Cricetulus griseus: one gene and its partners. The protein of the gene in region 7 binds, or shares a complex with, the protein of the main gene of each other region. Links are inferred from orthologs where the notes say so. Each region holds a gene or a part of one and is shown on either strand. Other genes may lie near its edges. The genes, in order: Rbm48, Rbmx2, Snrpd3, Snip1, Gpkow, Sf3b2 and Eftud2.

Region 1 (3,500 bases), on a different chromosome or scaffold from region 7:
AGGAAAATACATCAAAAACAAAAAGTAAAATGAATAATTACAATGTTTTAGTTCCTCCAAATAATTTCCTAAATAGTTGCTGACTCTACAACTAAATTATCTCAATTAAAAAACAATTACCTCACCTCTTTAAGTTTACTCCGAATTAAATTTGCCGTTGTATTCAAGGAGTCATCCTGCAGATCCACTGTGGGAATTCCTGGTAACTTAGGTCCAATCACAACCTCGTTACTGCCTGTGTTTGTTTCAGGAAACATTCCAAGTTCATGATCACAGTTTCTCCTTCTTTTCCTCTCCTGCAGCTGTGTTGTCCTAGGCATAAATCTGCCGACTGACTCTGAGGTAGTAATGACCTCTTGCCCACTAGAGCAAGGTAGTGAATTCTTGTAAGTGTTCACCTGTACTTTTGGGGAAAAGGCACTGTAGTTACAATGCTCTGATAGTTCACTATGGTTCCTACCGCTACTACAGGAATTTGATGCTCTGTCCATATGTTCCCCAGGTAAAAAGTTGCTTTGAGAGGCAAAATAGCATAAAGGCAAGTCACAAGAATAAGGAAGAGAAGGACTTGAGTTCTCAGGAGAAGTGTTCAAAGAAGTTGTGCAAAATCCAGGCATATGTGGATGGAAATCTTGTCTAGAATCATTTGCTCCTTTTTGCTCTGGAACCAGTTTCTTCTTTGTCATGTAATAGTCTTCAAAGTTGTATTTTTAGACATTGAGGGAAAGATAAACAAATGTTTCATTAATCATTTTGATCATTCAGAATCTTGTAATTCTAAAACCACACTCTACTCCCCAAATGATACTTCCAGAGCAGGGAAGGCACTGATAAGATTTAAGGGCTTTCTGAAAGGATAGGAAAGGGTACTGTGTCAAGCTTTCCCTTCTCCTTGTTTTCCCTACTTATTTAGTGTATTGTCTTATTCATCTATCTAAAATGCCTCACAGTTCCCCTGGAGCCTCCTTGTCTCCCTAGTCAAAAGATAATAAAAATCTATTCTTTTACATTTTCCACTAACTGTAATCTTAGAGAGTTTCCCATACCATTGCGTAGAAACCTTTACAGTTTCAGAATATTCTACTATATGGATAAACCATGTTTAGTTCCTACTTGTGTCAGGAGAAACTCAGTTGGACATGTGGACATTTGAACCAGCTGCTGATCAAAAACTGGAGTTCTCCCACCAGGAGTAGCACTTCTAACTGGTTTGCAAATCACAGTTGCTTCTTGCTGCCTTCATGTTAGTCACTGGATTGCTTAGCAGGTGACACATGGCACTTCATGATTTGCTTCCTGTCTACTTTCCTAATTTCTCTCACTAAAACCTTGGTATTTTGGTTACCCTGTAGGACTTACAGCTCCTTAAACGCATGATGGCAATTTATTTCCCCAGCTTTAAACGTGTAGCCTGACTCACCCTGCCATCCTCTCCACTCCCCTTCTGATAACATTTGCTAAAATTCAACCATCTCTCAGATCCCATAGGAAATATTCCAGGAACCAACACCCTGTCTTTCTTGCCAAGACTGTACAGTGCTACACAGAACCCTGTGGTTCAAGTCACCAAAGGCCATAACTGAGCAGGGACTCCACAATGACACACATCCCTAGTAGTGCCCCATACACAGGGAGTGTTTACAACAGACTTTCCGTACCTTTGTTTTTAGTAGCTCTTGCAATGTAAGCCTTTCTTTCTTCTAATTTTTTTCTAGTTTCTTCAACTGTCTCAAATTCTGGAGCATAGCATACATGAAGTAACCCACCAAAGAAACTCTGCTCATCCATCTTTTTCTTAGCTACCCTAAAGGGAATTAGATAATTTAAAGAGAACTCAAAAGAGAAACACATAAATTACATGGCTTTTTATTTATGCCTTATATACACGTGTATTCTGCATTCAAGTATATGCTCATGAGTACAGATGCCTAAGGAGGCCAGAGGTGATGGAGGCCCTGGAACTGGAGTTACAGGCAGTGGTGAACCGCCTGACATGAGGGATGGGAACCAAACTCCAAATTTGAGATCTCTGGAACAGCGATAAGTGCTCTTAGCTTCTGTGTCATCTCTCCATCGCCCAGATACATAGCTTGTTTTCTTTCTTTCTCTGCCTCCCCAAGTACTGGGATTAAAGATATGTGCCACTACACCCAGAAAATTATTATTTTTATTACTTTCAATTATGTGTAAGTATGTGTAGAGGCTCTGTCCTGGAGCTAGAGTTTACCGACACCTGACCTGGTTACTAGGAATCAAACTCAGGTCCTGTGGAAAAGCAGTCCATGTTCTTAATTGCCGAGCCATCTCTGCAGCCATGGCTTTGTAATCCAGATTTACCTAAGATAAAAGCTTAATAGGTATTCCATAGGTTTAAGGAGCAAACTGTGTGTGTGTAGGGGGGGGGAGATAGGAGGCTGGGTAAGATGCTTTGTTTTGGATGATGCCACTGATCCAGAAAGTACTATTTTTTGTTTGTTTTGTTTTTGAGACAGGGTTTCTCTGTATTGCTTTGGAGGCTGTCCTGGAACTAGCTCTTGTAGACCAGGCTGGCCTCGAACTCACAGAGATCCTCCTGCCTCTGCCTCTGGAGTGCTGGGATTAAAGGCGTGTGCCACCAATGCCCAGCTCAGAAAGTACTCTTAATAAAAAGATTTATTATCTATTTACTTGTATGTATGTGTTCTGTACATTTGTGTGCATGTGCCCACAGAGAGAGACCAGAAGTCACTGGATCCTGTGGGGCTGGAGTTACAAGTGGTTGTGGGCCACCTGACAAGGGTGCTTGAGAACTGAACCCGTTCTCTGAAAGAGTTGCAAGCTATCTTACCACCCAGCCATATCTCCAACCCCAAGAAATTCTTTTCTCTCTACTCATAATCTCAATAGGTATTCAGCTAAGCTAGTCACACTTACCTATTCTTTTTTAAAAGAATAACTCAGGATCCTACTAGTTAGCTTGAGTTAATAGAACTTGTGAGCCAAATATATAACTTGAAGCTGGTAAGATGGCTCAGCATGTAAAGGCCTTTGCCACTAAGACTGAAGACCTGAGTTCAACCTCTGGGGCCCACATGGTCGGAAAGAACCGTCTCCTGTGCGCGTAGGTACACACGCACATGAACAAGTGGAAACAGTGAAAATACAACAGCTCACCAATGCAAAATTAAGAACTGTTGCTCCTTCTGGGGCTGGAGAGATAGCTAAGGGGTTAAGAGCACTGACTGCTCTTCCAGAAGACCCAGGTTCAAGTCCCAGCATGGCAACTCACAAGTGTCTGTATAACTCCAGCTCCAGGAGATCTGATGATCCACAGGGTCCTACATGCATACAGGTGAATAGGCTCACACAACCACACCACATACACACAAAAATAAAAGAGAAAGAAATAAATTGTTTTCACTCAAGAGATACTGAATACCTATTCTGAACCAACACTATAATAAGTAATCAAGTACTTCTGTTATCTACAGATAATGATTAATTCTTATTGAGATATTACC
Region 2 (3,970 bases), on a different chromosome or scaffold from region 7:
ACACACAGATGATGTCTCCTTCTGTCAGTTCATAAGGAAGCCCTCCTAGAAGAAAACAAAGCACAGTTCAGGTCAGCAAACATTAATCAAGTGTTTACTGCATATTATGCACTGGGCCAGATACTGGAGGTGCAGAGTGAGTAAGCCCTGAACTCACAAAAATCAGTCTAATGCAATGACAGAGGATGAAAAGTGACAACAGTCCAGCAGAAAAGCAATTAACTCTTGGATCTCTGTGAGTTTTAGGCAAGCCTGGTCTACAGAGTGTGTTCCAGGACAGCCAGAACTACAAAATGAGATTGTCTCCAAAAACAGGAATAAAAGTGATTAAGTCTAAGTGGAAAGGGGTTACCACTTACCAAATTAATTTTTTTTTTGGTTTTTTGAGAGAGGGTTTCTCTGTGTAGTTTTGGAGCCCATCCTGCCACTCGCTCTGGAGACCAGGCTGGCCTCAAACTCACAGAGATTCACCTGCCTCTGCCTCCCGAGTGCTGGGATTAAAGGCATGTGCCACCAACGCCTGTCTTCCAAATTAATCTCATTCAGTCCTCACATCCAAACTCCTATAAAACAGAAAATTTCCTGCACAAGACTCAGATTTCACAAACATTGAGTTCAAATATGCTATTGTTATGCTCACCTATGTGTAAACTAAGAATTTTAAAGAAAACTGTTAGGCAAGTCACAGGAAATTATTTGCCTTCCATGTTTTTTACCTCCTGTGTAAAAAGGGGCTATCAGTATATTTGCCTCACAAGAATGTTATAAACACAAAATAAAACGGTGCATATAAAATGCTTAACACAATATCTAGTGAAATAGCCTCTTTCAAAAGTCAAACTGCAGGATTATTGGTTGTGACATAAAGTGAACAAAGGATAGTAATATTGTTCCCAGAGATATTAAGAGTTCCCCTTTGTAGGCTCTTAGTCTTGTCAGTAATTTTAAAACAGACTGAGGAAGCCTGAGATCCATTTTATTAGCATTTGAGAGAGAGCTGATGGGGAGGTGAGTTGTAAAATTTACCAGCTACTGGGAGGAGGGAGATGGACAAGACGAAGAAATACGTAGTTAATCAGAAGGCCATGCAGGCAGGCATGCTCAAAAATGGCGGCTAAGAAACAGCTGCAAGGGAACGGGAGAGCCTGTAGACTTGAAATAAGAAAAAGTCCAGAGTGTTAGGGCAAGCATGCTCAGGATTTCAGACAATATTCAAAGAAGGGCTAGAAAGGGAGGGGATGGATAAGTTAGATGTCAGAACAGCAGACAGATGTAACAGCAATAGGTAATAAGTGCAGTGAGGAACTCCTGCGGGACATTGCTTCACTAAGGGGATCATTTTCCTTCCATGTCCTCAGCATGTCTTCAGGTGAATGAGCTTTCCTGACAGGTGACTCCTGGCCAACTTTATTAAGTCTTAAGGAAGGGACACACTAGTATGTGGCAGTTAGGTTTGCTTAAAATGTCCCATCATATCCACCCAGGACCAAGAGTGGAATGTGGACTGTATTTTCACCAGGTGTATAGCTTTCCCTTAATGAACACGCCTAGATACCGCGACCTTTTCAGATGACATTCTAAATTTTAAGCAGGAGTAAAGCTGATTTTGAGTGAGGAGTCCACACGAAATATTTTCCAGATGGCTACTGTCTGTCCAGGAACCCAACAATCAGCAAAGTACTAGAAGCAAAAGTCAATCACAGGAGAAAATAGTTTTGCGGAGGGGCAGACAGTAAAAATGAAAATAATGACCACTAATCTCATAGTGCTGCAGTATGTAGTATGTAACCTTAAAGAACTCTAGTCACCTGTCCGCACCGCACTTTCTTTGGCCTCGTAATGTGTTGGCTGTGGAGTTAACTGTCTCTGGGCAGCTAAGTGGAAAGCCTTTAAGTGCAATGAATGGTAAATACCAATTCTAAGAAGCACTGGCTAAGCCGGGCGCTGGTGGCGCGAGACCTTTAATCCCCTTTAATCCCAGCACTCGGGAGGCAGAGGCAGGCGGGTCTCTGTGAGTTCGAGACCAACCTGGTCTCCAGAGCAAGTTCCAGGATAGCCCCCAAAGTCAGGGAGAAACCCTGTGTCGAAAAACCAAAAAAAAAAAAAAAAAAAAAAAAAAAAAAGAAAAAAAAAGCACTGGTTATCAGAAAAGATAACTGGAAAAGGACGAGTAAAAGAGAATAAAAAACGGACTGTGGGCAGACAAGCTGTGTGGGTGACAAGCGTGGTCAGCAGGGGCTCTAAGTAACCGGAGCGGGAGGGGGGTGGGTCGCAGCGACTCCGAAAGGCACTGCTAGAGAAAACTGTGGCCCTCACCAAGAAAGATCCAGGCGCTGTCCTTGTATTCCGAGTGCCAAGACACCTTTTCCGCCACCCCGAGTTGAGCCTCTCGCTCATTCAGTTCGTTGATCAGCTTCACCTTAGTTAAAGGGCTGCGCGGGAGGAGAAGACTTCGTTAAAAGTTCGTTTCCTCCCAGCCTGCCTTCTTCTCCCGCCCCGAGGCCTGAAGGCCCCACCGCCCCGGCGAGGACCCGTCACCGTTTGTGGGCAACTGTCCGCAACCCACTCCCCCTTCCCGACGAAAAAAACGAAGCCCTTACTTCATATTCGCGCCTTCGCGCTCTTCTCTCAAGAAATGAGCTTCCGGGTGAGGCGACGAAGGGCGGGCACAACCGATCACCCAGCTCAGATTGGAGGCGGCCGAACTCGAGGCGGAACTTCCGCTGGAACTTCCGCTCCGGCACGTTAAGACTTGGCGCATGCGCAGTAGCGTGGAAGCCTTTCTCGCGCTTAGTGCCCTTTGCTCCTGTGGCGAAGTAGTTCTCCAGTCAGTTAGTCAGGGAACTAGTTCCCTAGTGACGTAGACCAGGGGCGGGGTCCGGGGTTTTAAGGGACCTTCAGCTTCTGGATAGTTTTTGTTTGATTTAGCTTTAAACGTTTTCTGAATGAAGTAGTGTGTCTGATAGGGTGACGAAACTCCCTGTTCTCTCAATCTAAAGCCCTGTTCTTTCCCTCCATGGCAATTGCTCAAAAATAGTCCCTCAAAGCCTCCCTGTTTGGGATTTAACAGTAGAAAAGTAAAGAAAATAGCTATGAGAATTGTTTCCCCGCTCGAATATTAAAGACGGACCAGTGTGCCTCTACAGACCCAATTAAATACCCACAGATTTACGTAAGAAATGTGGTCTTACGCCGGGCCTTGGTGACGCACGCCTTTTATCCCAGCACTCGGGAGGCAGAGGCAGGCGGATCTCCGTGAGTTCGAGACCAGCCTGGTCTCCAGAGCGAGTGCCAGGACAGGCTCCAAAGCTACAGAGAAACCCTGTCTCGTGATCAACACGCCCTACTGGATTAACTGACTTTATTTTTTTTTTATTTTAAACTTCATTATTTCAAAAACGATTGCAAGTTAAACACTGAAATTAACCAGACCCAAAGACTCAAATGGACTTCTATACTGTTAGAATAGCATTGAGAACAGAAGCTGTGGAACTTCACATTGGATTTTAGGCTGTCACTATCAAATATATTTTTATTCACTTGTCCACCAACAAAACCAAAAAATATGATATCATTAGAGCTATAAGAATTTGATTTATATCCCCTTTTACTTGCATTCAGTCCATCCTCACCTAATATTTAGCCTTTCTTGTTCTTTTTTCTTCATGTTACATGGCACTCACATGTACATTTGTTCACGTATATGTGTATATTGTTAGCTAAATTCTGCATATAAGGGGGAAACATGCAGAGTTTTTCTGAGATTGTATGACCTCACTTAATACACTCTAATCGCATCCATTTTTCTACAAATTTTGTGATTTTATTTTTTCTTGATAGTTGAATAGTTTGCCACCTTTCATATATGCCAAATTTTCATTACCTATTCTTATGTTGATGGACAGTTAGGCTGATTCTAATTATTTACTATAGTGAATAAAGAAGTAATAAACATGAGGATGCAAATATC
Region 3 (4,059 bases), on a different chromosome or scaffold from region 7:
AAAAAAAAAGGCCCTTCCCTTTGCTGAGGGATCTCAGGCCGTTCTTTCCCCCTTCACAGCCCCAGGCCTTCCACAGTTCCCCCTAGGAACAGCATCACGCAACGGGGTTCAAGCAGGACCATTCGTTTCTGGGGAAGGCAGTGCCTTTGCCCCCTCGGACTTTTGCACTTGACTGCTCTCAGAACTCCCCGAGAAACAACCAGAAGCGGAGGACGGGAGACGAGAAGGAATATCCATCCACCTAGCTAAGGTCCACTGGAAGCTCCAGTCTGGGCTGAGGCCGCCTGCGGCCCAAGGTCGCGCGGCCAGACCCTGCCCAGCTCCAGGGCGGAGTCCCCCTCGGTTTCCCCGGTGAGGGCAAGGCCCTCTGAGAGGCACTGACCGGGCTCGAGCGGCTGCCCCGCTGCCTCTGCCTCCGTCCTCATGACCCGGGTGGCGCAGGGCGCCCATGGCCCCGGCCTGGAGCTGATCGCAGCTGCGACTTGTGCTGGGCAGCGAGCGCGGCCAGTGTGGGGAGAGTTCCGCCGCCGCCTCTCCTCCTCCTCCTCCTCCTCCTCCCGCCGCCGCCGCCACCGCCGCCCGCCGCCGCCGCCGCCTCCGCGGTTCAGAGCCGGGTGGGCGGGGGCTAGGCCGCCTCAAGCCCCGCCTCGTCCCTGCCAGGTCCCCGGCCTGGAGACCCGCCCCTCCCCTAGGCCACGCCTCCTCGCCCACCCACTTCTCTCCCATAAAGAGCGACCCGCAGGGCCCGCCTTCTGCGGAAGCCCCGCCCCTCCCGGGCCCCGCCCCCAGGCCCTTCCATAGCGACGTTGGCTCCTCCCAAACCCCCTCCGCTCGGCTTGCTCCTTTGCAGCCCCGGGTGTTAGCGCCGGCCCCTCGCAGTGCCTGCCTCATCGAAACGCCCCGGGAATCCTCCTCTGCCTCCCTTTCGGTCTTAGCCACACGATGAAAAATGCCAGTTTCCCACGCTCGGTGCGCCGCTTACCTGATGGCGACCAGATCCAAAGCTTAGATTCCTAGTCCAAGCCTCACTTCCTGTGGCACCACAGCAATTTTGGGGCTCCAGCCTAGCTCCCGCCCAATCCGTCCCTGGAGTACTTTGTAAGTGGGGGGGGGGTCTCCATGTTCCTTTTGGGGCTCGAGGACGGATGCTTCCGGCGGCCCCCCGGGTCCTCTCCAGGGCCGGAACGATAATGCCAGAGCCGTCGTTTTCCGAGCCGGCGGAGTTAAGGAGGAAGCATACGTCAGAGCGCTCTCGCCGCTGGGGAAAGGAAGAGGAGGGGCCCTGCGCGCGGTATCCTGGGAACGCGTGGTATTCTGGGTACCCCGGGCCCGCCATTCCCTCGCTTCACGCCTTCGCCGTGTAACGTTTGTGCCAGGGCCGAAAGGGAGCCGGTGAGGAGAGGCGGAGAACCGGTAAGAGGAGGCCTAGGCGTCCCCGGAGGGTTAGGGGCAGGAAGGGAGCCTGCGGAGGAGCTCAGCGGGGCACTAATGGCGGGCGGGAAGCCTGGGCCGATCCAAACACCGTCTCACCCGCGCTTGGAGCAGCTCCTCGTTTACGCCTGTCTGCGCGTTCTGTGCCTTTCCGGCTCGCCGATTTTCGGAGCTCGCCCGCAGTCGTTTCTCACGAAATACCCCCTTTCCCTGTGTGCCCTCCTTTTCAGCGTCCTCTGCATCCCTGCTCCCCTCGGATTCCGGCGCTGGCCCTCCCCTGCCTTCCACGACTGCTGCACGAGTCTTAGCGAGTCGCTGTGCTGCAGAAGGGCCATGTTCGAGCTATCCTGCAGATGCTGCTATTATTCCTTTTTGTTTTCTACTGAGCCTTTGGCAATGACCCTTTTGTGTCCCCCCCCCTCCACCGTTTTCAGCATAAAACTCACACTCCTTAAGTTGAAAGCCGTGGTTCCTCACCAAGAGAGACAGCGCCCAGCATCCTTATAGCCTTCTCATGGACATAGGTGGGAACGCTCATCACAGTTGCGCTTAGCCTCCGTCTTTTACTGAGGCTTAAATCGAGCGTCGACCCTGATGGTGCTCCTGTGAGCATTTCCTGTCACTTTGTGAACGCCTTGCTATCTTATCAGGGTCTATGTCTGCTGAGCACTTGGAATATTACTAGTGTGACTGGGAGGGGAGGGGCTTTTTAATTTATATTTCAGTTGAATAGCTACAGGTAAGCAGTGATTGCTTTTGAGGTCCATATCATAGTTCTTGGGTGACTATAAAGGGTCATGTGTTTGGGAATAGATAAGAGGCACTCTTCATTCCCACCAGCCTCTTCTGTCCAGCTTGCTTGCCATCCTTCCCAGCTCGAAGGCAGTGTGTCCTTGCCATGGTGGTTCCTTCAAACCAAGAGTCAGACTCCTTCCACAGAAAATGCAGCTTAGGCCGGGCGGTGGTGGTGGCTCACACCTTTAATCCCAGCACTCGTGAGGCAGAGGCAGGCGGATCTCTGTGAGTTTGAGGCCATCCTGGTCTACAAGAGCTAGTTCCAGGACAGCCTCCAAAGCCATAGAGAAACGCTGTCTCAGAATAAAAAAAAAAAAAGAAAGAAAGAAAGAAAGAAAATGCAGCTCTGACATATTTGCAAAGGGTATGGTATGCCAGTCCTTCTTAAGCTCTGAAAGACAGCTGTTGTCTCTCTCTTCCACAGGAACACTCCTGCCAAGATGTCTATCGGTGTGCCGATTAAAGTCTTGCACGAGGCTGAGGGCCACATCGTAACTTGTGAGACCAACACTGGCGAGGTGTATCGAGGGAAGCTCATTGAAGCAGAGGACAACATGAACTGCCAGGTACCTTGCTTTGCACCTGTGAAGGAACTGTGGGTGAAAGGTAATATCTCTGACTGCTCCAGGTCTAATACACATACCTTGGAGTTGTCATAGAGAGTTCAGATGGCTGTGTGTTCACAGTGGCCAGCTCAGTGCTTTGCGTGCAATAACTGGTGCCTGTTAACTGTATTCCACATGAGAAAAGTAAAGGTTGGAGAGGGAAAGTACATTATTTAGAATCACACCTGTGGGTCAGGTGGCCTGACTATTGCCTTTTAGGGTTTGCATTAGTTATTTCCTGTGGCTGTGATAACACACCATTAGAAGGGGTTTTTTTAGGCTTGCAATTACAAAGGAATGAGTCCATCGTGGAGGGGAGAAATGGTAATAGCAGGACGCTGAGTGCTTACATCTTCAATAGAAAGCTTGAAGTAATGAGAGCTACCTGGAAGTGTTGGAGGGTATTAATCTGAAAGCCTGCCTCCAGTGACATTCTTCCTTCAGCAAGGCTGCATCCCCTCATCCCACCCCCCCCAAAACAACCCACCAACACATGGGGGCCAAGTGTGCAAATGCCTGCAACTGTGGAGGATACTTTTCATTTAAACTACTGTAATTGTGCTGCTTAGTTTTTTTGTCAACTTGGTGCAAGTGAGAGTCACCTTAGAAAGGGGAACCTCAGTTGTGAAAATGCCTATCCTATAGGCAATTCTGTGGGGCATTTACTTGATTAGTGATTGATGGGTAAGTGCCCAGCTTATTAAGGGCTAAGCCACTTCTAGGCAGTTGTTTCTGGAATAAGAAAGGAAGCTGAAGGCTGAGCATGGTGGTGCACACGTTTAATCCCAAGACTAGGAGGCAGGGGCAGGTGGATTTCTGAGTTCCAGGAGAGCCAGAACTGTTTCACAGAGAAGCCCTGTCTCGATAAACAAAACAAAAAAGATGTATTTGTCTGTTTTAGGGCATTTAGTTTTGGGAGTAGAATGAAAGAATTTGGATAGTGACTATTAATATATTTAGTATGCTGCTCTAATTAATGAAACTTACCGAGGTGGGCTTCAAACAGCCCAACTATAACAGGAATTTGTCTGACTAGATTATGGTATTCTCAGAAGTGCAGCCCATGTGATGCAAAGACACAAATCTTAGTACATTATCAGGTTAAATCTTGGAAAGCAGTGTGTCTTGTGTGTGAGCTTTGTGCTGCCCTTGCCCCCTGTTCCCTCCAGAATCGGTGATAACAGATGAATGCTCACTTTGATTTACTTTAGAGTGTGTAAACTGAGGT
Region 4 (3,500 bases), on a different chromosome or scaffold from region 7:
TGGTGACAACCAAAGCTTACTGAGATTCTCTGCTCTAGGGTTTGTCACCAAAACAAAACTCCTGGTCCACAAAGCTCAACGACTATATAAATAAGAAACTGTACAAAGAGAACAAGCCACAATCCCCTTTCCAAGGGCTTAAGTTTCCTGTGCAGCAGTTCTGAAGGCACCCACTACAGCCACACACTTTGACCAAAACTCAACATGCTGTAATTGGTGAGATTGTTCTGAAAACAAGCGCCCACAGGCAGGCGGCTGCTGTGCCAAGTTCAACAAAACACGAAGTGAGAGTTCTCATACTGCAACACAAGCTGGGCAGCAACAGAGAAAAGACTTAAGGCAAGAAGAGGCGCTGGAGTCAACCCCATGGCCTCCAGGAGGAACGGATTCTCATGGGGGAGGGGGTGGGTGCTTCTCAGTTGCTAGCTGTCAGACACCATTTCCTCCTCCTCGTCATCTTCGTCTTCCTTTCTATCTAGTTCAGATGTGTCTGAAGACTCATGGAGCAAGACATATTCTCTGCTACTGAACCCAAATTTAAGGACGTCTTTTTCCTTCAGTTCATAGTACCTCTGTGGTTCAATACGCTTGTTGTTTAGGAAGGTCCCGTTGCCTGAGCCCAGATCAATGATGTAGGGTTTCACCCTCCGACCAACTGTGCCGTCAGCACGAGTGTACTCCACAAGCCTAGAAGAGACCAGTGAGAGAAGCATGTGAGCAAGTCCTACCAGGGACCATCTACTCTGCAGCTCTCTGCTACAGATCTAGATGTCACTGACCTGACTCGAACATGGTTCAAACAAAACCTCTGGAAGGTCACAGGGGAAGCACTGCCCTGGACAGGGAAATTGGGAGCAGTTTAAATATATCTAAGAGAAAAAGTAGAGCTGGCTGTGGGTGGTGGGTGGGGATGGAGGGCCATGAGATATCCCAATGTAGAACTCAAGGCTTCTTGCTATGGCTACAAATATACTTCCTCCAATGCTGTACAGCTATTTTAGCACCAGCCCAAATGGGGAAAAACATTAGAATGAGATGAGACTTTCGTGTCAAGGGCGGGATATGAGACAGAGCTCTGCTCTGAAGATCATTACTGCTACCAGCAACTGTGCTGAGCTGCAGTTTTCCCAGATGTCAAATGAGGATGTTAACACTGGTCCTGTTTTCCCACGGGACTGTGGAGGATCAGATAGTAACGGTAATATGATCTAAGCAGCAGATTCAGCCAGCATATACCTGGCATTCTGACTCTGGCTTATACTTGCTTGGCCTTCTGACACCTGAGATTATAGGCCTGCACCACCGCAATGATAGCGGCTAATCTGGGTTTCTGATATCAAGTTCAAGATTCTCACACAAATGTTAAGAGATTACTCAAGGACTGCTAGACTCTTTCAGCCCAGCTTATTAGATACAAGGTGTAATGGCCTCTTCTGCATCTCCACAAACAGCATAGGGGTCCTCAATGAGACACTCACCCCAGCTCCCTTTCCAGTCCTCCTCCTGGTCTACCTACCGATACTGGAAGACTGCGTGCTGCTTTGAGCAGGAGGGATGGTCGATGGGAATGTCGGCGATGCGGCGATGTCGGCCCAGAAGGTAAGCACTCTGCCGATGGATGTACATGACGGGAAGTACCTCATCATTTTTAAAGGGGTACAGACGCCACCGTTTTTTTGGGATCCGGGCTTCTGGGGGCTCACTGTACTTAATAACCACACCCCGGAAGGTATTGGTGTCCTCAAGAAGTGCCCCAGAAAGTTCAAAGCTTGGTTTTTCTTTAACAGGCACCTCTCTGCTTCTGTTACCAGCAGGGCGAGGGATCACCTCCTGAGCTTCACCGCCAGCACCTTCATTCTGCTGACGATGCTCCCGGCGCCTGGCATTATGAAAGTCCCTTTCTTCTTCCTGGGCCTGCAGAATTTGGCTGTCTCGGTCCCGACCCTGACCACTGACAGGCCTCTCATCAGAGCTCCTCTTTTGGCGGGAATGGCCCCGGTGCCGGTCTCGCTCACTGTTACGAGCTCTCCTCTGCTCCTGTTCTGATGGCTCTCGGTGCTGCCGATCTTCTCGTCCTCTCCGAGGATGGTCCTCACGTTCCTGAAATTAAGATGCATTCAGTAAAGGAAAGACGGCTTCTACTCTGTGAATAAGCTGTCAGGGCTGGGGAGATGGCTCAGCAGTTAAGAGCACTGACTGCTGTTCCAGGACCCAGGTTCAGTTCCTAGCACCCACATAACTGTTCACAATCTGTGACTATCATTCCAAGGGGATCCAATGCTCTCTTGTGGTAAGCATGGGCACTGCATCTATATGGTGTAGATATCCATGCAGGCAAAACACCCACACACATAAAATAATTAAATCCCCCAAAATGAACAACACATCTATAACCTGAGTGCTGATGATATTCAGAGCAAATTCCTATCTACACAAGACTATCTGTTCTATTCCCCTGGAGTGTCATCTGTGGTAGTTCTGTTCCCCTGGAGGGCCATTATGACTATACTCCATGCTGCTCCTCAAATACAGGCCTGATAGCCCAAGCCCACATCCAGAGCCCTCAAAACAAGAGGCTGATACAGAGGGAAGGAGAAATAATATTCCCATCAGTCACCTGCTAGCAAACTCACAGGGCAGCATGTGTAGAAAACAGAACAGAGTAGCCAGGTGGTGGTGGTGGTTCACTCCATTAATCCCAGCACCTGGGAGGCAAAGGCAGGTGGATCTCTGAGTTTGAGGCCAGCCTAGTCTACAGAGTGAGTTCCAAGACAGCCAGCCAAGGCTACACAAAACCTGTCCTCCCTCCAGAGAGAAAAAGAGAGGAAGGGAGGGAGGGGGAGAGAAGGAGGGGGAGGGGGGACAGAACCATTACATTTATGTAAAGGAAAAAGTCAACTTCCTCATAAGCCAAAAAGAAACTGAAATAATTTCAAAAGCTCCAGCTTCAACAATTACATACTAAAAATCAGCCTGGCATGGGGCTGGAGAGATGGCTCAAAGGTTAAGAGCACTGACTGCTCTACCAGAGGTCCTGAATTCGATTCCCAGCAACCACATAGTGGCTCACAACCATCTGTAAAAAGATCTGGTGCCCTCTTCTGGCCTGCAGGCATACATCCAGACAGGACACTGTATGCATAATAAATGAATAAATCTTTAAAAAAAAAAAATCAGCCTGGCAGAAACTACAATACACATAACACACCAGTAGATCAATGAGAGACTGATGGTGGTGGCACATGCTTTTGACCCCAGTATTCAGGGGGTAGGGACAGGCAGGCCTCTGTGAGTTTGAGGCCAGTCTGATCTACAGAGTTCCAGCATGCTATTACACAGGAAGGCTATCACACAAAGAAATGCTGTCTCAAAAAAACAAGGACAAAAACAGACCAATGAGAAATCAATCAGTAATCAGCCAGTCCACAGGCAAAGCCTCAACAGCAGTCTCCAGAAGAAGCTAACAGTTAGTGACCACCTGTCTCGCTAGGAACCAGAGG
Region 5 (2,338 bases), on a different chromosome or scaffold from region 7:
CCAGCCTGGTCTATAGAGCGAGTTCCAAGACAGCCAAGGCTACACAGAGAAACCCTGTCTTGGGGTGGGGGTGGGAGTATCTCTAATAAATATTAGCAAAGGCCCTCCTGACAGGATCAAGCCAGACTGGCCTTTTCTGTGAACCTCATTCCCCTCTCCCTCATCTGCAGGCGTGAGAGAAGACATGCTGGAAACCCTGATTCCCAAGGGAGAGGGCCGTCGTGTGATGGTGGTGCTGGGAAAACACACTGGAAAGGTGAGTTCCTATGCCTGGGAATGAGTGTGGAGATCACTGAGGATCTGGGCCGACTTTGCTAACTCTCTACCCCATCTCTCCTCAGGTGGGACGACTTCTGAGTCGGGACAGTGTGAAGAGTCAGGGTTTGGTACAACTTGGGAGAGACAATCAGGTGGTGGAGCTCCACTATGACGCTATCTGCCAGTACGTGGGCCCCAGTGACTCAGATGAAAACTGACATGTGGACCACTGCTGTCACCCAGGCTGTCACTATTGTGTAGCAATCTACAGCAGCTGCCATGGAGAAGATAATTGTTTTGTCCTCCTTTGAGCTGCAAGGACAGGGACATGAGTAGATAGACCAAACTGTCTACCAAAATTTAGAGTGTATAATAAAAACCATTTTTAAAAGTGGAAAGGTGAAATCAAAACCAATATGTGAGCTTTGAATTTAGTTGGGAACTGAGATGACTGAGGTAGAAACGCCTTCATTTCTTAGTCTCATTTCCCTGCTCAGAGTTCAAGACAAGTTAAATTGCCTATCCAATACAGAGCTCACTCGTGGAGCATAGAAACTGTGAAATCTGCCCCCAAACAAACACTATAGAATCTCCAGTGCTACATCTCAGAACAGCTTCTGTTTGGATCTTGAATGGCTTTCAAAGGCCCATATCTTTCTTTTTAAATGTATTATTTTTAGTTATATATATGTGTGTGCCTGTGTGAGTGTGTGTGATTATGAGTACAAATACTTTAACCAAAAGTGTTAAGTCCTCTGGAGCTGAAGTTACAGGCAATTGCAAGCTGCCAGACATGGGTGCTAGGAACCAAACTTGGGTCCTTTGAAAGAGCAGCAAGCACTCTTCACCACTGAGCCATCTCTCCAGCTCATATATCTGTATCTTAAAGGATTCTTGCCCAGGATTCAGCACCTATTTTTGACCTTTGAAAGATAAAGGCCTAGTAGAAATTACTTAGGTTATGACTTAGAAACCTCCAAAACTGTGAACCAAAATAGACTTTTCCTCCTTATACTTTAATTATATCTGGGTAGTTTGTCAGAGTAAGGGGAAACTGACTACTGCTCTCAGTGAACTCTAGGACAATTTCTTGCTTGCCCTAGGTGACTGTGTTCTAAGCCTTTTCCCTGCTTAATGGCCCAAGATAATCAGCAAGAGAAGTCAGAGCCTTAGACACAATTGCTTCTAAATCATCCTTGAAGCTTAAGTCATTCATGCAGTAAATGGTAATTGACTTAGGTCTGGGCCACAGGTAAAACTACCTAGTCTGTTATCCTGTTGCACACTGAAAAGAATCAGAGCATCCCAGAATAGGATGATAAAGAGATGGCACTCAGTGTGTGTCTACCATATGTAAAGCCTTGTGTGTTCCATCCACAGTACCACCAGGAAAAAAGGGAACCAGAGGCAAACTGAACTCTGACAAAAATGAAAAAATATAAAAAGACTTGAGTCACCAAGTGTGGTAGCCCATATCTGTCATCTATCACTTGAAAGGCCGAGACAGGAAGATTCGCGTGAGTTCTAGGACAGTCTAAGCTTCATCAAAAGACCCTTTCTTCAAAAACTAAAAAAACAAACAGTAAATGTGCTGGGTGTGATAGCATACACTGTTGATCCCAGCACTCAAGAGGCAGATCTCCATGAGTGTAAGGCCAGCCTGGTCTACAGGGCAAGTTCCAAGTCAGTCAGGGCTACATAGTAAGAGCCTGTCTCAAAATAGAAATAAGGGGAGTGTGGCTTTTCTCCTTCCTATTATCCCTTTTGTGTCTCTTGTCTAATTGCTATAGCAAAGACTTTGACACTGTATAAAATAAGATAGGGGCAAGTGGGAATCTTTCCTTATCTCATTCCTGATTTTAGAGGAAATGCTCAGTATACCTCCATTTAATATATGTTGGCTATAATATAATGTTGGTTTATTGTATATAGCCTTTATTATTTTGAGGTATTTTCCATCTATTCCTACAGACTCCAGAACATTTATCACAAAAACATGTTGAACTTTGTCAAATGTGTTTTCAGCATTGACTGAAATAATTAATGTGATGTCTGTCCTTGAGTTTGTTTATATGATGTA
Region 6 (4,237 bases), on a different chromosome or scaffold from region 7:
CCTTTAATCCCAGCACTCGGGAGGCAGAGGCAGGCGGATCTCTGTGAGTTCGAGGCCAGCCTGGTCTCCGGAGCAAGTGACAATAGGCTCCAAAGCTACACAGAGAAACCCTGTCTCAAAAAAAAAAAAAAAAAAACATAAAAGTTAGGGAGAGAAATATTACCCTCTTCTGCTGCTCTAAGAGCTATGTTCCTTCAATGAATGATTTCCTTGCTTAAAAAAAAAAAAACTCATGCCAGCAACAATACAACCAGGCCAATCTGCCAAAATTCTTGCTTCTAGGATTCTCTGCCAGCTGTTACCTAGGTCTTGGTCTTCAACCAAGACCTTCCTAAAAGGCACAGCCTCCGGGTCTAGCTTTCTGGGGTTCCATTTCCCCATCAGGGACCTAAGGTGACCTAGGTAAGGTTTCCACCTGTCCTACCTGTTTGGCACGTTCCTCTTGCTGCATCAGCAAAGCTGCCTGCTGTTGTGCCAGCTTCAGCCGTTCCTCTTCTGATAATGCCACAGGCTCACCGACTCGGAGAGGAGGTGGGGGACCCAAATTTGGTGGGTGAGCCATAGGAAAGCCAAGGCCAAGGCCTGGTGGAGGTGGTGGAGGTGGAGGAGGAGGTTGTAGAGGGGGGAGTCCCATAGGTGGTGGCGGCATAGGAATCCCAGACAGCTGTGGAAAAAAATATATAGCTATGAACTAGAAAGCATTTATTCACTTTAGAAGCATTTTCTAGCTAAAGTTCTAAAGGGAACTAGCAAAAGAGCCAGGCATTCAAAGTCTAGTGATGCAGAACTCAAGAAAATGCACCATAGCAGAATCAAGAGAAGAAAAGGCTAACTTTAGAACACTGATCAAACAAAGCTATTGGGTCCTCTGAAATTGCATTCAATTTAAGAAAATACAAGAACACCTCTAAAGTCTATACAGGCACTTAACAAAACACAAACACACACACACACACACACACACACACACACACACACACACACACACACACACACACACACACACACACACACCCCACCCACCCAGGCCAAAGCCACTAGTTTAGAGGAAGACACTCAAATACTGGATTCCAAAGGAACTTAAACAAATAGGAACCAGTACTGGAGAGACTGGACCAGCAGTTAAGAACTGCTCTTGAATCACAGGGTTCAATTCCCAGCATCCAGATAACAGCTCACAATCCTCTGTAACTCCAGCCCCAGGGTGATCCAAGCCCCTTTATGGCCTCCTGTAATGCTGCATGCACATGGTGTACAGACATGCACGCAGGCAAAACACTCATATGCATAAATATGTGTATATATTCACATACACACATATATACACACACACATATACACACACACACAGATACTATTTTTGAGATACAATTTCTCTGTGTTCTGGCTGTCCTGGAACTCACTCAGTAGACCAAGGTGGCCTCAAACTCAGAGATTCACCTGCCTCTGCCTCCCAAGTGCTGGGATTAAAGGTGTTCACCACCACTAAACTTTAAATATGTTTTTTTAAAGAAATAGAAACCAATGTGCCAGGGCACAGACTGTCAATGAATTACTAAATGCAGGAGGTATATAATAAAAAAATCACAGCATTACCCCTTAAAGTGTCAATGAATAACTTTGGGAGCTATGCCTGATAACAAAACACATGACTACATCCAACTGGGAGAGAACCAAGTATGAATTCTAGGTATTCAAGTTGACTCTTGAATGACAGGTCAAATTTAGAAGAGCAGACATTGCGGACTGATGAATACCGGCACAAAGCCAGAAGTGAAAAGGCCCCAATTCTGTCTCATCAGACCCCACCCTTAATTCACTATATTCTTATCTCCAGTGCAATGCATGGGAGAAAGGTTATCCTGAACAGAATGACCGATAAACAGTCTCTTACCTGTGCTGACATAGGAGGAGGAGCAGCTTTGTCCCCATCTTCTCCCCTTAAAACAGGTCGATTCAGCACAATGCCCGTCTACAAAAGAAAAGAGAACTGTGTGTCAGACTAAGAGGGAACTATTCCATTGCACGGCCTCCTCCACCATTTATTTAACAAAGTGCACCCGATGCCCGTTTGCCAGAGATTGGGGCTGTAACCTTTACAATAAAGCAAAGGCAAAAACTGACAAAACGGTCAAGACCCGACTTGCCGCGATGAAGTACGTAAGAAACGAAGACCCAGCCGGGCGTGGAGGCGCACACCTTTAATCCCAGAGCACTCGGCAGGCAGAAGCAGCCTGATCTCTTGAGTTCCAGGCCACCCTGGTTTACTGAGAGAGAGTTCTAGGACAACCAGGTGTACACAGTAAAACCCCGCCTAAAAGCTTTTTAAAAAAATGTAAAAGAAACGAAGACCGATCCGTGGCCTATCTTAAAGGCCTCTAGGAAAAGTAATCTTCAACTCCTGCCACAACTCACCTGGCGGGTGTAGGTCTGCAGCCGCTCAACCAGCTCCTCGCGACTCCCTGCGGAACCAAGCACAGAATCCGGGGTCAGCACCAGCCGGAACAGCCCGGCTTGGCCAGGTCGGGCCCCAGAGGCCTGTCTCCGCCCCCCGCCCGTGAGTCTCCTGGGTAACCAGGTCCCACTGCCCCGCAAGCCCACGCAGCCCCCTTTGACCGCCCCGGGAGCCTCACCCTGGATCGGAGCTCCTATTTCCGCCAGTTTGGCCTGAAGCTCCTGAGCAGCCCAGGCGCCATAGTGGCCTGGAGGTGGCGGCGGCGGCAACTGCAATTCTCCTTTGGGAGGCTCTGGATGCTCCGCCGCCATCTTAGCCACAAGAAGGCGCGCGACCAACACGGAAGCTCGGATCAGCCACCGGGCCTACTTCCCGGAACTTCCGGCAGAGCACTCCGCCACGTCCCGCGGTGATTGGAAAGCACTTGATTCAGACACCCACTCACTGCCTTTCGCTGGGAGATAGGATTCGCCGCTAACAAAGGCTGCACGGCCTTCTGGGAGTTGTAGTCTACGGTTGCACCGCCTAGAGGCTGGACGCTTGTTTTAACATCCCGTACCCTGTGGTAGATCCGCCGCTAGGGCCCTGAGAAGACCCGGCCCTCCACCCATTGGTTCCTTTCTTCTTCTCCTCACCTGCCCAAACGCATACTAAGTCTTCTGACCCGACACTCTCGGTGATGAGGTACCTGGATGCTTATTCCACCCAGGAGCTCATAGAGACTGCTTTCCGGCGCCCGCCAAGTGGGAGGTTGGAGCCGATGCCTCTGATAAAACAGTGTCCGATTGTTTGCCTGCTCGCTCCCGGCCCAGGCGTGCTTGAATGGGCTGAAAGGGGATCGGAGCCCGTAGAGGAACGGACCCGCCGGGCTGAGTTCCAGCTGCTGACTTGGGGGAAGGGCGATACCAAAATCCCTTTTCCACATTCGAGAAAGGCTTAAGAAAATGCCTTCTCTGCCAAATGTTTCCTCTCCTTTCTAGGAGCTTTCATACCACACCCAACTTTCCACCTTTTGTTTTCAAAACGAAATGTGCACCACTTGCATGCCTGATGTCTGTGGAGGCCAGAAGAGTGTCTCCTGGAACTAGAGTTACAGACGGTTGCAGGTCCTCTGCAAAAGCAACAAGTGCTCTTAACGCCATCTCTCCAGTCCCAAGGTTTTCGTTGTTTAAGTAAGTGTATTACAAATGTGAGCCAATCTATTGCCCCTTTTTGTTTTTTTTGTTTTTTTTTCGAGGCAGGGTTTCTCTGTGCAACAGTCCTGTCTGTCCTGGAACTCGCTCTGTAGACCAGACTGACCTTGAACTCACTTGAGATCCGCCTGCCTCTGCCTTCCAAGAGCTGGGATCAAAGGCATGTGCCACCCGCGCCCAGCTGTCCTGTTTCATTTTTAAGTCTTTCGTACCCTTTATTCCTACCTCCATTCCCAAAACAGGAGCAAGAACTTGATCTTTTTCTATCATGAAGCATCTAGCATCCAGGAGCCACCTAATAAATGATTGTGTGGGGGGGATCTATCCCTGGGATTTTATCTTCTTATAGGAAGAAAACACTCAGACTCTTTTCTTGGGTGGAGACCCCATGACCCTTGCCTGCCAAGCATCCACCCATTCATTTTGTCTCCTCACTTCTCCCTTCTAGTTCTTCCTCCACTCTCGATGCAGCCTGTTTGTTCTTGTGTGTGATGAATAAGGGAGACGAACACAAATGGTCTCATTTCTCACCCACACACTTCAGATCTTTTCTCTTCCTAGCCACCTCCGTTTCACCAGCTGTCCCCAA
Region 7 (3,500 bases):
GGAGAAACACTACACGTTTCTATGCAGTAAGTTACCGTTTCCCTAACAGGTTAATAAGCCACGAGACAGACTGCTCATTAGCACCCTGGGAAGACTAAAATTTTTTTCTTCTTCAGTCTCAAGACTGAACCTAGAGGTCTACAAATGAACCACAGTCCCAGTTCCAAGTGTATCTGCTTGATGGGTGCCCAGTATCTTTGGGCTGATGGCCAGTCCAGAGTTAGTATAATCTTTAAAGGTCCAGACACCTTTAATTGCCATTAGACGAAGAACCCATGGTTGCTAAGGACCCTTCCCTTGTCCCTCCACCACTCAAACTTTCTGAGATAGGGCGTCACTATACAACCCAGGCTGCACTGGAATTTCCCATGTAGACTTGATGGACCTTGAATTCATGAGATCTGCCTGCCTCTGCCTCCTGAATACTGGGCTTAGACATGCACCATCATGCCCTGTTTCACAGCTATTTTTTAAGACAGCACCTTGCCCTGTAAGTCAGGCTGCCTGAACAGTGCTATATAACACATGCTGGTCTTAAATTCATGACAATCTTACATCAGTCTGTTGAGTGCTGCGATTACAGGCACTTGTTCTTATTTACAGACAAAAATCAGTCACAGAAAAAATTAGTCTGGCCTGGTTCCCCCTAAAAGCTGCAGGCCAGAAGCAAAACTCAGGTTTTGCCAGGTGTGGTGGTGCACGTCTTTGATCCCAATACTTAGGCAGCAGAGGCAGGAGGATCTGTGAGTTCAAGGCCAGCCTGGTTTATATAGTGAGTTCCAAGACAGTCAGACCTGGATAGCAAGACCCCGTCTTCAAATGAATCCAAGCCCCTGTGAGGACAATATGAAATGTCCCCCACTGGCTCCAGGCAGGAGTACCGTCTGGGGAGGCTGCAGAACTGTGAGAATGTGGGCCTAGCAGCAGAGTCAGTTACAGCTGGCTCCGCTGCTAGCCCAGGCTGTCTCCTGGTCTGTGAAGAAGGAGGCCTGGCTACCCACTCTCATTGTGAGCCCTACGTGCCTTTCCCTCCACGACGATGCACCCTCCTAAAGCACAAGTCGCAATCAACTGTTTCTGCCAGGTGTTGTCATAGCGATGAAGAAAACCAATCATCTCCTGAGTGCTCCTCACCTGTGCCTTCCCTGCTACTCCACATCCCTGGCCATCCACCTTCCTGCCTGACCCCAGTAAATACTTCAGAGCCTAGAGCCTGCCACTTATCTCCGTCACCTGCAGGACCCTCCTGACGGGAGAAACCTAATTCCTTTTTCTAACACAAGAAACACCTAAAGAAAACAGCTGGAAAAGCCACCTCAGTTGGTTCACATGCCCTCACAACTCCTCTGCCCTGCAGGGAAGGGAGCTTCCCAGGTAAGCCATGGGAGGACACCTGAGGCTGTTCTTGTTTATTTTCTGAGACATCATGTAGCCCAAAGTGTCCTGTAAACAACTGATCTAACCACTGAGTTAGAGGACTGCCGGTGTGAACCACGATGCCCGGATGAGGAGAGTAATGTCCAGGGCTTTGAGATATTTATTACCTGTGAACTCGCCAAAGAACTTTTTGCAGACCAGCCTGAGCAGAGGGCGGATGTTCAGCTTCAGCTCCTCCTTGGTCAGGTGGATGCCAAGCTCGTCCAGGGTCCTTGGCAGGCTGGTATCCACATCACCCACCACCTGTGAGAGAAGAAGGCACTGGGTCAGCTCTGTAGTGACAGCCCTAGTGAGACATTACACACAGAGTGAGGGGAGGCCAAGCAGGCTTCTACAGGGAGGAGTGAGTAGACACTACCTAGTTTTCAGGAGTGAAGCTGACCTGGTTAAGTCTCCGAATGCCCCATAAAGTAAGCATTCAGCTTGATTACTGTCAGTGCTGCCCCCTAGTGTCTGACAAGCAGCATTGCGCCCACTCAAGAAATCACCCTTACCCCTCCCTACTTAAAGTCTGCCCAGATTTAGAGGCCCACACTGGAAGGAACCAAAAAAGGCCACCTGTCAGGACAGAGCCATGCTAAATCATCCTCGGCAGACTCAAGGTCTCTCTACAGAGGCAGATTCTGTAAATTTCTTTTATTAATCCATTCCAGCCTGACAAGAGATACTAAGTGGGTTTTTTTTTAGCACTGGTAAATTTTAGTCATTATTTTATTCTACTGCTGTGTTTTCCTCTTTTGTGGGTAGGAACGGCCACACACATTGTGTGCATGAGATCGTGTATATGTGTGTCCACTGGACGCAGCTCTAATTAAACACCTGCATATTTTATTATTGTCTTGGAAGAAAAGTCTGCATAAAAATTCCTATGATATTTTCACCTTTCCAGCTCGGTACTTCAGCACAAACTCACATAAACATGTTTCATTCTAAAGTCCAACTAGCCCTCCCCCTTCCTCCTTCCTCGTGTGGTCCTGAGGATCAACCACACAGGTGAGGCAAATGCGTCACAGTTACACCATGATTGACCTACGCAGGTTTCCAGTGACAGAGACATTTAATTGACTTCCAAGACCTGTTCTTACCTTCTGTTTTGAGGCAGGGTTAAACAATTAAGTATTCTTAACTGCTAGACCAGCCCCCTCCAGGACCCTTGTTTTTTAGGGGCAGGGTCTCAAGTAGTCAAGGCTAGCCTCTAACTCACTATGTGGTTAAGATAACCACGAACATCTGATCCTCGTGTGTCTACTTCCCAAGTGCTGGGATTGCAGGCCTATGCCACCATACCTAGTTTTCTGCAGTGTTAAGAATTGAACCCTGGGCTTTGTGTATGACAGACATGCGCTTTATTGCACTGAGCTAAATTCCAAGACTCCAAAACCTTTTAAAAATTGTATTTAATTTTACATGTATATAAAATGCATTGAGTGTGATGTATGTGTATGATGCATGCAGATGCCCATGGAGTCCCGGAAGAGAGCACCACATGCCCTGGAACTAAATTACAGGTGTTTGTGAGCTGCCCAACATGGGTGCTGGAAAGTGAACTAAGGTTCTCTACAAGGTCAACAAGTACACTTAAGCACTAAGTCATTTTTCCAGCTTTCCAAGAGGTTTTGAAGGTTTTGGAGACAGGGGTTCTCTGTGTAGCCCTAGTTGTCCTGAAACTTCCTACATGGATAAGGCTGGCCTTGAACTCAGAGATCTGCCTGCCTTGGCCTCCCGGGTTCTAGGATTAAAGGTGGGACACTTCTCAAAAGGTTGGTTTTTGTTGTTGAATTTTTTGAGTCAGGGTTTCTCTGTGTAGCTTTGTAGACCAGGCTGGCCTGGAACTCAAGAGAGCTTCCTGTCTCTGCTTCCCTAATGCTGGGATTAAAGGCATGTACCACCACCATCTGACAAAAAGTTTGTGTTTTGAGACAGGGTTTCTCTGTGTAGCCCTGGCTGTCCTGGAACTCACAAAGATCCGCCTGCCTCTGCCTCCTGAGTGCTGGAATTAAAGGTGTGTGCCATTGCTGCACACTGCCTGGCTCAAAGATTTTTAATAAACAGTTGATGACGGG

Evidence for each region.
Region 1: Eftud2 (region 7) and Rbm48 share a complex: the UniProt entries of both Homo sapiens proteins name them as parts of the minor spliceosome. The link is inferred for Cricetulus griseus from reciprocal best matches to the Homo sapiens genes EFTUD2 and RBM48.
Region 2: Eftud2 (region 7) and Rbmx2 share a complex: the UniProt entries of both Homo sapiens proteins name them as parts of the minor spliceosome. The link is inferred for Cricetulus griseus from reciprocal best matches to the Homo sapiens genes EFTUD2 and RBMX2.
Region 3: Eftud2 (region 7) and Snrpd3 share a complex: the UniProt entries of both Homo sapiens proteins name them as parts of the minor spliceosome. The link is inferred for Cricetulus griseus from reciprocal best matches to the Homo sapiens genes EFTUD2 and SNRPD3.
Region 4: Eftud2 (region 7) and Snip1 share a complex: the UniProt entries of both Homo sapiens proteins name them as parts of the minor spliceosome. The link is inferred for Cricetulus griseus from reciprocal best matches to the Homo sapiens genes EFTUD2 and SNIP1.
Region 5: Eftud2 (region 7) and Gpkow share a complex: the UniProt entries of both Homo sapiens proteins name them as parts of the minor spliceosome. The link is inferred for Cricetulus griseus from reciprocal best matches to the Homo sapiens genes EFTUD2 and GPKOW.
Region 6: Eftud2 (region 7) and Sf3b2 share a complex: the UniProt entries of both Homo sapiens proteins name them as parts of the minor spliceosome. The link is inferred for Cricetulus griseus from reciprocal best matches to the Homo sapiens genes EFTUD2 and SF3B2.

Annotation. Positions count from the first base shown.
Region 1 is NW_023276806.1:221,961,466-221,964,965, forward strand, and holds part of Rbm48 (RNA-binding protein 48), read right to left. Parts: intron 1,805-3,500; coding exon 1,659-1,804; intron 695-1,658; coding exon 126-694; intron 1-125. UniProt on the Homo sapiens protein: As a component of the minor spliceosome, involved in the splicing of U12-type introns in pre-mRNAs.
Region 2 is NC_048604.1:20,792,335-20,796,304, forward strand, and holds the start of Rbmx2 (RNA-binding motif protein, X-linked 2), read right to left. Parts: upstream 2,801-3,970; 5' UTR 2,762-2,800; coding exon 2,601-2,761; intron 2,433-2,600; coding exon 2,317-2,432; intron 46-2,316; coding exon 1-45. UniProt on the Homo sapiens protein: Involved in pre-mRNA splicing as component of the activated spliceosome. As a component of the minor spliceosome, involved in the splicing of U12-type introns in pre-mRNAs.
Region 3 is NW_023276806.1:263,063,379-263,067,437, reverse strand, and holds the start of Snrpd3 (small nuclear ribonucleoprotein Sm D3), read left to right. Parts: upstream 1-1,259; 5' UTR 1,260-1,413; intron 1,414-2,650; 5' UTR 2,651-2,666; coding exon 2,667-2,792; intron 2,793-4,059. Other genes in the region: protein GUCD1, read right to left, coding at 383-425. UniProt on the Homo sapiens protein: Plays a role in pre-mRNA splicing as a core component of the spliceosomal U1, U2, U4 and U5 small nuclear ribonucleoproteins (snRNPs), the building blocks of the spliceosome.
Region 4 is NC_048595.1:27,983,365-27,986,864, forward strand, and holds part of Snip1 (smad nuclear-interacting protein 1), read right to left. Parts: intron 2,101-3,500; coding exon 1,517-2,100; intron 688-1,516; coding exon 423-687; 3' UTR 1-422. UniProt on the Homo sapiens protein: Required for pre-mRNA splicing as component of the spliceosome. As a component of the minor spliceosome, involved in the splicing of U12-type introns in pre-mRNAs. Down-regulates NF-kappa-B signaling by competing with RELA for CREBBP/EP300 binding.
Region 5 is NC_048604.1:114,172,703-114,175,040, forward strand, and holds the end of Gpkow (G-patch domain and KOW motifs-containing protein), read left to right. Parts: intron 1-170; coding exon 171-256; intron 257-341; coding exon 342-476; 3' UTR 477-1,838; downstream 1,839-2,338. UniProt on the Homo sapiens protein: RNA-binding protein involved in pre-mRNA splicing. As a component of the minor spliceosome, involved in the splicing of U12-type introns in pre-mRNAs.
Region 6 is NC_048596.1:54,019,650-54,023,886, reverse strand, and holds the start of Sf3b2 (splicing factor 3B subunit 2), read right to left. Parts: upstream 2,801-4,237; 5' UTR 2,767-2,800; coding exon 2,634-2,766; intron 2,463-2,633; coding exon 2,416-2,462; intron 1,973-2,415; coding exon 1,895-1,972; intron 665-1,894; coding exon 425-664; intron 1-424. UniProt on the Homo sapiens protein: Component of the 17S U2 SnRNP complex of the spliceosome, a large ribonucleoprotein complex that removes introns from transcribed pre-mRNAs.
Region 7 is NC_048600.1:115,271,214-115,274,713, reverse strand, and holds part of Eftud2 (116 kDa U5 small nuclear ribonucleoprotein component), read right to left. Parts: intron 1,681-3,500; coding exon 1,545-1,680; intron 1-1,544. UniProt on the Homo sapiens protein: Required for pre-mRNA splicing as component of the spliceosome, including pre-catalytic, catalytic and post-catalytic spliceosomal complexes. Component of the U5 snRNP and the U4/U6-U5 tri-snRNP complex, a building block of the spliceosome.